Linked DNA regions of Macaca mulatta. The protein of the gene in region 1 interacts with the protein of each later gene in a pairwise test. Links are inferred from orthologs where the notes say so. Each region holds a gene or a part of one and is shown in the gene's direction. Other genes may lie near its edges.

Region 1 (3,198 bases):
GTTTGTTTGTTTTTGTTTTTTTTTTTAGAGATGGAGTCTCGCTTGGTAACCAAGGCTGGAGGAGTGCGCTGGCGCTATCTCGGCTCACTGCCACCTCCGCCTCCCGGGTTCAAGCGATTCTCCTGCCTTAGCCTCCTGAGTAGCTGGAACTACAGGCACCTGCCACCACGCCCCGCTAATATTTTGTATTTTTAGTAGAGACAGGGTTTCACCCTGTTAGCCAGGATGATCTCGATCTCCTGACTCGTGATCCGCCCTCCTTGGCCACCCAAAGTGCTAGGATTACAGGAGTGAGCCACCGCGCCCGATTCCTGTGGCTACTCTATGGAGAATATACTATAGGAAGAAAAGAGTGAAAGCTAAGTGATTAGTTGCAGCAGTCTGGGTGAGAAAGGCTGGGGATCAGGGTGGCAGTGGTAGAAATGACAAGTCATGACTGAATTGGCAATATATTTGAAAGCAGAGCCAACAATTCCTGTCGGCTCTAGGGATCCGTTTAAAGTAGAAAAACAAAATTATTTAAAAACACAAACATCTTAACAGTTCATTTTTAAGTACAGAATAAAACCCAGTGGCCAAAGGCACTAATAGCAGGACAAGAAATAGAGAATCAAAGATATGTGGGATGCCTGCAATTGATTATTGGATGCTGATTTTGCAAAACTTCTTTATATCCTGCTACTTAGGTTTGTTTTTTTTTGTTTGTTTGTTTTAAGGGAGTATGCCATATTATTCCCCTACTAAAGAAGTCACTGTTTAAATACTGCCTTTTTCATGAAAGGCAGGAACCCCTGAAGGTCTTCATGATCCTAAAAGGAAGTGTGAGTCCCACAGTGCAGCCAGCAGTGTCAATACTTCTCTGAGTGAGATTTAAACAAGAAAGAAAATGTGTTAATAAAACATCACGCCAAGAGAATCTAGTGGCCACAGACCCACGAAGGAACAACTGAGTTGTGAGAGTTGCCTAGGTAGAAGGGTGGCTAATCCTTTCAGTTTGAACAAATTTGCCTTCTCTGAGACCAAACTCAGCGCTCGCCAGGTCCTCTGCTAACGCAGGCCCCACAACCAGGAGCTAGGGGAGCCTACCCCAGCCTTTAACTGCCCGCCTAGAGACCTACCACAAGCCGGTGGTTCAGCGACCCAATGCATCCTTTTCCTGGCCACGCCCTCTTTGTCTAAACCCTTCCCATCCCGGCCACGCCCCCACGCAGCCGCGGCCGCCAGTCTGGCCACGCCCCTCCCGCGCCGCGCCGGCGCACCATCCGTCCGAATGGCCTCGTGGGCGGAGCTTGCGTAGCCTCCCGGACCCCGGCGCGCACCGCCCCCCGCCCCCAGCCCCTGGCCATCGAGCGTCTCCGTGGACACGCACTTCCTGCGAGGCCTCCGTGCGCACCTTGGCCGAGCCGAACCGAGCCGAGCCCTGTCCTTCCAGGCTGTTCGCAATGGTGGATGAGCTGGTGCTGCTGCTGCACGCGCTCCTGATGCGGCACCGCGCCCTGACCATCGAGAACAGCCAGCTCATGGAACAGCTGCGGCTGCTGGTGTGCGAGAGGGCCAGCCTGCTGCGCCAGGTACGTCCGCCGAGCTGCCCGGTGCCCTTCCCCGAAACGTTTAATGGCGAGAGCTCCCGGCTCCCTGAGTTTATCGTGCAGACAGCGTCTTACATGCTCGTGAACGAGAACCGATTCTGCAACGACGCCATGAAGGTGGCATTCCTAATCAGTCTCCTCACCGGGGAAGCCGAGGAGTGGGTGGTGCCCTACATCGAGATGGATAGCCCCATCCTAGGTGATTACCGAGCCTTCCTCGATGAGATGAAACAGTGCTTTGGCTGGGATGACGACGAAGACGACGACGACGAGGACGAAGAGGATAATTACTAGGCCCTCGGGCCTCGGGGGGAGGGCCCTGCACGCCGTCACCCCCTCCCCGCAGCCCTCACCCCGCCAGGAGCCAGTGCTCTCCCCCTTGCCCTCCGGTCCCCTTCCCTACCCGCGCCCGTCTGCTCTTTCTTCATTTCTCCGTAGTGCTTGTCTTTGTTCCAGGAATAGTGCTCCAGTTACCTGCTGCTGGGGTTGGGGCTGGAGCCTCACTCACTCGGAAGTGCTTGGAAGTGTCATCTACCCTGGCCATCCCGGGGATCCCTCCCCTGCTAATCTGAACTGTGTCCTGAACCCCAGCTATTGGCCAGGCCCCTGTTACAAACTGCGCAGACCACCCATAGCCCTGCTGCTGCCACCTGCCCTGCTGCCAGGCTTACATCTGCCCAGAGAACTATGCTGCCACTTCACATCCACTCACCACATCCCACCTACAGACTACCGCCTTTCGAGATCAGGACCAACCTGGAAAATGCCAGAGTTGGCTCTGCCTCTTCGGACATTGATTTGGACAGCTCACCAACCCCTGAAGAGGCCAGTCATTCAGCCTGGTTAGTTTTCTACCTACTCCGAGTGTCCTCCCCTGCCATACCAGATTGCTGCAGGGGCGCGGTGTGCCTGACAGCCAAATTGTTGATATTTCTTTTTTCCTATGCACTGGTTTTACACAGCTGTCATTTTTCTTTCAAAATTGCAGCAGTCCCACAGATGTATGCATTTGGACAAATAGTACTAAAAACAAAACAAACAAGCACTCAGCCCAGCTCCTCAATACTACCTGGAAAAAGCATTGGCATTATTTTCAATAAATATCAAGCACTAAAAAACGAAATGATTGTCTTTTAATAGTTAAGTGCTATCACTGACCTCTAGAACTGTCACTGTGACTACCGTTATTCCCATGGAAATCAGGGAATACAACCAATCCTAGGAATCCCTGCTGTCAACTCCAGGCTGCTGGGGACAGCTACCTCAGGGCTTTGTCAGGGTTCTGATGCTTCCTTCACCAACGCATTTCTTAAAGCCCTGGCAAAGGGTGTGTTCTCTGGGTCCTCCAGGGTGGCATGGGTAAGGGTTGGCTGAGCAGATGGCAAAGAGGGCAGTATTAATAATTAGACCGTAACAACAGGCATAAACCAGGACATATATATGTATTGCTCCTAATTCTCTGAGCTTTTGGATTCCTTAATATTGTGCCAGGGAAGTTCTGCCCCTTAATCCTTATTGCCTATATGCAGCTGTTGAGTTCAGGCTCCAGAGAGCCAACATAGTACATTGTCACTTTCAAACTCCAAATAGCCAACATGTCACTTACAGG
Region 2 (3,997 bases), about 93 Mb from region 1:
CCTCCTCTGGAGACACAGCCACATAAAAAACTACAATATTGTGGTAAGTGCTAGCTTAGCTGTACAGGTAAGGTGCTCTGGGTTTCTGACTTATCTGGGAAAGTCAGGGAAGGTTTCAACGAAGTGACAAGTTAGGTCTTAGAGAAACAGAAAAAAAATTGCAAATGCAGGGGGAAAGGTGCAAGTGATCAGGGCTGGTTTGGGGTCCAGAGGAATTTCAGGTGTCTCTAGGATGAGAGGTTAGAAGCCCTCCAACGAAGTAGAGAGATAGTGAGTCCTGTTTATGGGTAAAGGGACAGAGGGAGTCATTTTCAGCCCATCTGTGCTTGAAGTGGAGAAACAAACCCACCCTCGGAGGCACAAAGTCCCACCTACTCTGTGCCCCACCCCAGGGTTTAGGCTTGAGGAAGAGGAGGGGCTGGAATTAAACCATCAGGAAGAAAACATTTTCAGACTAATATTTACTGTTTTGTGGGGGCAGACTTCACTTCCCAGCCAGCTCCTTGAGATGGCTTCAGAAATCCCTACTTGCCCCACTCCAGAGATATAAATTCATTCCCTTCTGTAGAAGCTGCTCCGGGATTGAGGGAAGGATGGAGTAGGAGGGGAAGAAGGCAAAAGGGTGGGAGAGGCTTCTAGTTCTGGCTTCTGCTCCAGCTCGGGTTGGGTCTGACCATAGATCTGAACGTATGCAGAGAGAGCTGGGAGTGCTCAGGGATTGTCTGGGGCCCAAGGACCCGGGAAGGTGGCTGGGAACAGCTAACCAATTCACTTCAGGTGGGGAATACTCGGCCAGCCATGTGACCTAGGCGGCCATTTTCTCACACCCTGCTGTCGCCATCTTCCATGCAGACAAAGACACCATCCCCCACCCTTATGTGATTCGGGCGTGGTGACTGCCTGGTTACTGAGATTTGGAAGCACGCATATTTAACCCCAGACAAATGCCCGCAGACAACATTTTGGCTTGCAAGTAGGGTATGTAGCCGCACCAGTCGACCCGCCGCTTCTTCCCGGTCACTTGGCCGTCCTCCTTTGCCCTCCTCGGCTCTTTCCTTACCTACGGGGCAGCCAGGAGGCGGGGCCAGCGTGGTCGCGAGGAAGGGACGGGCGGGCGCGAGCTGTCAGTCAGAAGCCCCGTCCCCTCGCGGAGAACGCACAGTGGGCGGAGTCGGGCGCCGCCGGCCTGGGATCCGGAAGTCGGAGCCTAGCTGCGCGAGAGCATCTGCTCGCCCAACCGACTTGTCGTGTTGCCCTCGCTTCTCAGATCTCCGCCGGAAGTGTAGGTAAGAAACTACTCTCCTCTTTTCTCACCTAGACGGCCGGGCAGTTAGGATCGTGTATTGGATGTGAAACCAGAGATGCCCGCCAGCCTGGAATAGAGAGGTAAACAGCCGGATCCTTTCCAGGGTAGAAGGACCCGGAAGAGGGGCAGGGTTCGCGGCACACGTGGAGACGCGCCTAATTGCCTTTTCGCGGAGTGGAGTTTGCCGGGAGAGGGGCATTGCCCCATCCCACCTAGAAAGGTGTAGACCCGGGACACACGGTGTAGAGAGGGACAAACTTCACTTGTGTGGTGAAGCGTTGATCGTCCTCAAGATAGTGAGGCTGCATTCTGCATTCACCCTGTATAGACAGGAGTCGACCCACCGAAGGAATGGGGGACATCCACCCCAACCGTGTAGAGACATCTCCCTCAACCCAGCTGAGCATCGCAGACTTCTCCCGACTTAAGGCATTTCCTTGGCTTGACTCTAGACAGCCGCCTCGAGGCACCTCCTCAGGACAGACAGACGCTTTGATATATCTGCCCCCATACCAGTATAGAGGAGCTTAGAAACATTTAATATACAGAGGGAGGGCACCTCCTCCCCATTCGCGTAGACCTAGAGCGCTCAGTGTCCCTCCCCAACTCACCCGTTCCCAAAGTGGTTGCAGATACAGGCCTCATCCTATAGACAACTAAGCCGATTGCCCCCTCCTCCTAGGTTAGATTGAGTCCCCATTGTGGAGAATCAGACCTGATCCCTACTTCCGTAGCCCCCGTTTTACCGAATGTGTAATTTTTCGAAGCACCCAAACAGAAACAGACCTTAATCCATGAAGAGACAGGTCTGCCCCTTGAGGGGCCATGGGGGTAGAGGGGCTCAGATGTGTTCCTCTCCTTTTGAGGTAGACACAGATCATCCCCCTACCTCCCCTACCTCCCCCAAAGATTTAGCATCACTAAATGTAGCAAGGGAGATACCCCACAGGAGCAGATAAGCAGGTCTCCCTCCCTGTAATGTTGAGAGGGAGTGACATCGTTGATTACCCGGCAGTGCAGTGCCTACGGTCTCTCCCCTTTACCCAAGGTAGTGGAGCTCAGATCTGTTTCTCTCCACCCAGGGTAGAATCACAGACGCCCCCACCCCCAAGTATTAGGGCTGATCTACTAATTTATAGCTGCATTGCCTGCCCCTTCCACACACCACCCATGCAGAGAACCAGAGCCCCTGTTTCTTTCAGTGTTAGTGTGCTGCTGACTTCAACCAGCATAAAAGATGAAAGTTGTCACAGTCCACCTCCCATAGAAGGGTCCAGAATAGCTCACTGCGGGTAAGGTGCAGACCTGCTTATTCAAAGCTGCATAGTTGTGGAATCAGGCATATCGATCCCTCACCTCAGCCCTCTCCAGGGTAAAGAGACGCAGGACCTATCCCCACAATCTAGAGATAAACAGATCTGTGGTTCTTTTCCCATGCAGCAGAGATGCACACAGCCACTTTGTGGGTTTCCCCAGTTTCTCTGCACCCCAGAGTAGGGGGACAGATGGCAATCCCCCCAACCCAAATCACTGAGGTATAGACCCCAGGCATATGCAGGCACAGATTTTTACCCCCTCCTCCAAGATTTTGTACTTATCTCAGTCCATATAGACACTCAGGTAAGAATCCCTGTTCTCAGGCCCCTTTTCCCCAGGGTAGACTCCTGGGCTCTATTTACGCCCTTCCCCACCACCTCTCCCAGGGCAGATGAGGTATAGAATCCCCTACTTGGGAAAAGAGGCACTATTATCACCCCATATAGAAGTAGACCATCCTTGCGTGCCCCTTTCCCCTCAGTGTGGAGGTGTTTAGCACTAGTCTTCTACCTAGAATATAACACTATAGTGTGGAGGAATAAGAACCAAAGACCTCATCTGATGCTTTGAGCCACTGACTCCACCCGGGATGAGGTTGAGACCTATTCCTCCCTTTGGGTAGTATGACACTTCCTTCTCTGTGTGGACTCAGCCATATGAGGCTCTAGCTTCAGCTTCTCCCAGTTTTCCTAATTATTACGGCTTCCTCATAATGTTCTTTAACATTTTACCTTTAGGGGACTTAGGAGGGGGCTTGTGGCATTGTAGTTCCCAGCTGTCTTCAAATTGCTTCTTCGTCCATTCTTACAGGAGGAGAACAAGCAGATTTGAACCTATCTGCTTTCAAGCTGGTCATCGCGATGAAACTTAGACACAGTGAGTTTCCTTTACCACCCCTCCCAATCCTGTGCTTTTAATGAATATTCATAGAATTTCACAGCAACTTTTCGTTGTTTTGGTTTTGTTTTGAGATGGAGTCTTGCTCTGTCACCCAGGCTGGAGTGCAGTGGTGCAATCTCAGTGCACTGTAACCTCCGCCTCCAGGGTTCAAGCATTTCCTGCCTCAGCCTACCGAGTAGCTGGGATTATAGATGTGAGCCACCATGCCAGGCTACTTTTTGTATTTTTAGTAGAGACGGAGTTTCACCATGTTGGCCAGGCTGGTCTCGAACTCCTGACCGCAAGTGATCTGCCCCTGTTGGCCTCCCAAAGTGCTGGGATTACAGGCGTGAGCCACTGCACCCGGCCTTCACAGCAACTTCTAAAAACTGCTGAATATGTTTCAGATCACTCGGTCTGGGTCTTTTTCATATGGTATCATTGCTGTCTTCCTGACTTCCTTGTCAGAGAATGTTTCCCTTATGCCCCATTCTC
Region 3 (3,764 bases), on another chromosome or scaffold:
GATCACCATAGCAGATAGCCTAATGAAAAAGTCTGAAATATTGCAAGAATTACCAAAATGTGACACAGGAACACGAAGTGAGTACATGCTGTTGGAAAAATGGAGAAAGTAGGCACTTGATGCTGCATCGCCACAAATCTTCAATCTGTAAAAACAAAAACAAAACACACAGTATCCCAGAGCTCAATAAAATAAGATATTCTTGTATTCTGGTGATGAGGCAACAATGAGAAGGCTTCAGATTTTTTTAAAATGCTAATTTCCTAGATTAAGGCAAGTGGTGGGAAATGGGAGAAAAAGGAAAGTGTGAAAGGCTCTTCTGCAATCGATTTCATGTGAAGGAACGTCATTCCAGGAAAAGGCCTAGGTTTCTGGCTTGGACAATTTGATGAGTGCTCACACCCGCTATTCTCCTCTGGATACGTGGGTGCCATAGGTAACTATCATATGATTCACGCTTCTTGGTAAGGTTATGCTCACAGGCATTGTTGCTGTTAGACGGGAGTAGGCTGAACTGCAGTGTGTATTTCACAACCAGCTTTTCCAAACTAGGTCCCAGGAAGCACTGGTTTCAGCGAGTATTCCCAGATCTCCTGCAGGGGAGAAACGATCACACAACATGAACTGGTCTGCCCTGCCCTTGGAGAGTTGCAGTGGAAACTGGCATGTTAAAGGCTCACAGTAAAGACACTGCTATACTTTAACTCAGTTTCCCATGGTTATTAGAGCTTAGAACCCGGGGGGAAACTGCTGCATAGAAGAGGTCTAACAAGCTGAGTGCAGGTTTTGTCATGAAATTGGGGGGTGAGTAGGGTTCCATTATCAAAGAACGGTTGTTATGTTAGGGCCATAAGAAAGAATTACAAGCAGTGGTGTGCAGGTAACGTTCATGAGACGGCCACAGTGGGGTAGCATCAGAGGCGGGAGGAGACGCGGGAGGAGGAGGGTTGGAGAGCAGGGGCTGCAGCCTTGCGAGGCGGTTGCAAGCCTCTCTGGGTGACCACAGCAGCTTGCGCAGCGCCCACATTGCTTCTGCGTGTTTACAACTGGGCACGAGAAGGCTCAGCAAGCACGCACCGCTGGTGCGGGCCCTCCCTGCCCACAGCATGAAAACAGGAGCTCCGGCCAGCATTGGCTGGGCAGGGCCAGAGGCGCCTCCTCCAGGCTCCTCCCCGCGCTGGCCCGCCCCACAGGAGCACCGCCCCCGCCAGGAGCCAGGCGCTCTCCCGAGGGCCCGCCTCTCCGCCAGGGGGCGAGCCGCCTCCACTTCCTGTTTCCGCAGCCGCCCTACCAGGAGCCTGGCGCTCTCCTCAGGGCCCGCCTCCCCGCCAGGGGGCGCACCGCTTCCACTTCCTGTGTCCGTGGCTGTCGCGAGAGCCCGGGACGGGTGGGCCTTTGCTCGTGGGTGGTTCTCGTGGAGGTCAACTCCCGCGTGTCTCCGCTCGGCAGGGTGCTTGGGCAGGTAAGGGTTCGCTCAGTAGCCCAACCCTCTCTGTATGCAGCTCCCCAAATTCAGCGCAGCGCTCAGGCATGGCAGCCACCAGTTACGTGGGGCCATTTGCATTTGCATTTATTGAGGTCAAAGAAAAGGCTGGAAATTGGTGCGTGGTGACACCGTCAGGTTGGTGACCCTAGCAGGTCGGCCCAGCCCCTAAACGCTTCCATCACTGCCGAAAGCCCTGTGAGGAGGCGCAGAGCTTTGCATTTCCCGCAGTTGCACGGGCCCCTCTCTACTTGCCCCGTTTTTCCTCTTTGCTGCAGAGCCCAGCGGGTAGGCGGGGGCCATGGCGCAGTACAAGGGCACCATGCGCGAGGCGGGCCGTGCCATGCACCTCCTCAAGAAGCGCGAGAAGCAGCGGGAGCAGATGGAGGTGCTGAAGCAGCGCATCGCCGAGGAGACCATCCTCAAGTCGCAGGTGGACAAGAAGTTCTCGGCGCACTACGATGCCGTGGAGGCCGAGCTGAAGTCCAGCACGGTGGGCCTGGTGACCCTGAACGACATGAAGGCCCGGCAGGAGGCCCTGATCAGGGAGCGCGAGCGGCAGCTGGCCAAGCGCCAGCAGCTGGAGGAGCAGCGGCTGCAGCAGGAGCGGCTGCGGGAGCAGGAGCACCGGCGCGAGCGCAAGCGTAAGATCTCCTGCCTGTCCTTCGCGCTCGACGACCTCGATGACCAGGCGGACGCGGCCGAGGCCAGGCGCGCCGGAAACCTGGGCAAGAACCCCGACGTGGACACCAGCTTCCTGCCCGACCGCGACCGCGAGGAGGAGGAGAACCGGCTCCGGGAGGAGCTGCGCCAAGAGTGGGAGGCGCAGCGCGAGAAAGTGAAGGACGAGGAGATGGAGGTCACCTTCAGCTACTGGGACGGCTCGGGCCACCGGCGCACGGTGCGTGTGCGCAAGGGCAACACGGTGCAGCAGTTCCTGAAGAAGGCGCTGCAGGGGCTGCGCAAGGACTTCCTGGAGCTGCGCTCCGCGGGCGTGGAGCAGCTCATGTTCATCAAGGAGGACCTCATCCTGCCGCACTACCACACCTTCTATGACTTCATCATCGCCAAGGCAAGGGGCAAGAGCGGGCCGCTCTTCAACTTCGATGTGCACGACGACGTGCGCCTGCTCAGCGACGCCACCATGGAGAAGGACGAGTCGCACGCGGGCAAGGTGGTGCTGCGGAGCTGGTACGAGAAGAACAAGCACATCTTCCCCGCCAGCCGCTGGGAGGCCTACGACCCCGAGAAGAAGTGGGACAAGTACACCATCCGCTGACACCCGCCCGCCAGAGCAGAAACCGGGGGAGACACTCCTTTCTATGCCCCGCCACCAGTCACTTGATTTCCTGACCTTGATTTCTTCCCCCGAATTTAATAAAGACAGAGGGTTCTCATGATTCATATTGGTTGTCCTATTGCTGATGTTATGCTTTGGTTGTTTGGTTGGTCCTTTTCTGAGTATTTTAGTGTCCCTACCTGGATTTGCTGCATTGCTCTGCTGAGCTGTATTGAAACCATGTCTGGGCCCACTGTGAGACAGAAATTAGAAGAGGAGGCACATTTTTTACCTCATGGTTATGAGCATGGTCTTGGGGGCCACAGTGACTGAGTTTGATTCCCGACGCAGCTTCCTCCTTGCTGTGTAGTTTTGGGTAAGCTTATTAAACCCCCATGCCTCACTTTGGTCACCTGTAAAAGGAAATAACAAGAGCACTTACTTTAAAAAATGGATGTGAGGTTTGAGTTAATATTTGTAAAACACGTAGCACTTAATAAATGTTTTTTGTTATTATTATGGTTTTGGTTAATTTATTTAAAAGACTTCAGTGACCTAGTTCAGAACCATTTGAGGGCAAAGGTGGACCTGCCCATTACCGGTCCCAGGATCAGCAGTTGCCAGCAGGAGGGGGCTTGCAAAGGTTGGGGAGCAACCCCCCTCTAGTTGCCTTTAGCTGGGTTGTTTAGCCCAGAAGTTAGGAGGACAGAGCTAATGCAAGTAGCCTGCAGGGTGAGTATCATTGATTTTCCTTTTGCTCCAATATGACTCCAAAGGGCACAGTTGCAGATCCTGTCTTTATTGAAAACGTTTGTATTTTATTCATTGTGAATTATTTATGTTAATTTTGATTTTTAAAAATATTGTATTCAGGCCGGGTGTGGTGGCTCACGCCTGTAATCCTAGCATTTTGAGAGGCCAAGGTTTGTGGATCACCTGAGGTCAAGAGTTCGGGACCAGCCTGACCAACATGGTAAAACCCCGTCTCTACTAAAAATAAAA

Evidence for each region.
Region 2: the proteins of LDOC1 (region 1) and GNL3L interact in binary tests that used the Homo sapiens proteins (3 or more experiments, as listed by UniProt). The two-hybrid records come from large-scale screens. The link is inferred for Macaca mulatta from reciprocal best matches to the Homo sapiens genes LDOC1 and GNL3L.
Region 3: the proteins of LDOC1 (region 1) and FAM50B interact in binary tests that used the Homo sapiens proteins (3 or more experiments, as listed by UniProt). The two-hybrid records come from large-scale screens. The link is inferred for Macaca mulatta from reciprocal best matches to the Homo sapiens genes LDOC1 and FAM50B.

What each region holds. Positions count from the first base shown.
Region 1 is NC_133426.1:147,689,497-147,692,694, forward strand, and holds LDOC1 (protein LDOC1), read left to right. Parts: upstream 1-1,348; 5' UTR 1,349-1,442; coding exon 1,443-1,883; 3' UTR 1,884-2,698; downstream 2,699-3,198. UniProt on the Homo sapiens protein: May have an important role in the development and/or progression of some cancers.
Region 2 is NC_133426.1:54,369,571-54,373,567, forward strand, and holds the start of GNL3L (guanine nucleotide-binding protein-like 3-like protein), read left to right. Parts: upstream 1-1,197; 5' UTR 1,198-1,286; exon of another isoform or gene 1,287-1,568; intron 1,569-1,625; exon of another isoform or gene 1,626-3,000; intron 3,001-3,433; 5' UTR 3,434-3,483; coding exon 3,484-3,499; intron 3,500-3,997.
Region 3 is NC_133409.1:179,407,847-179,411,610, reverse strand, and holds FAM50B (protein FAM50B), read left to right. Parts: upstream 1-1,369; 5' UTR 1,370-1,462; intron 1,463-1,761; 5' UTR 1,762-1,784; coding exon 1,785-2,762; 3' UTR 2,763-3,264; downstream 3,265-3,764.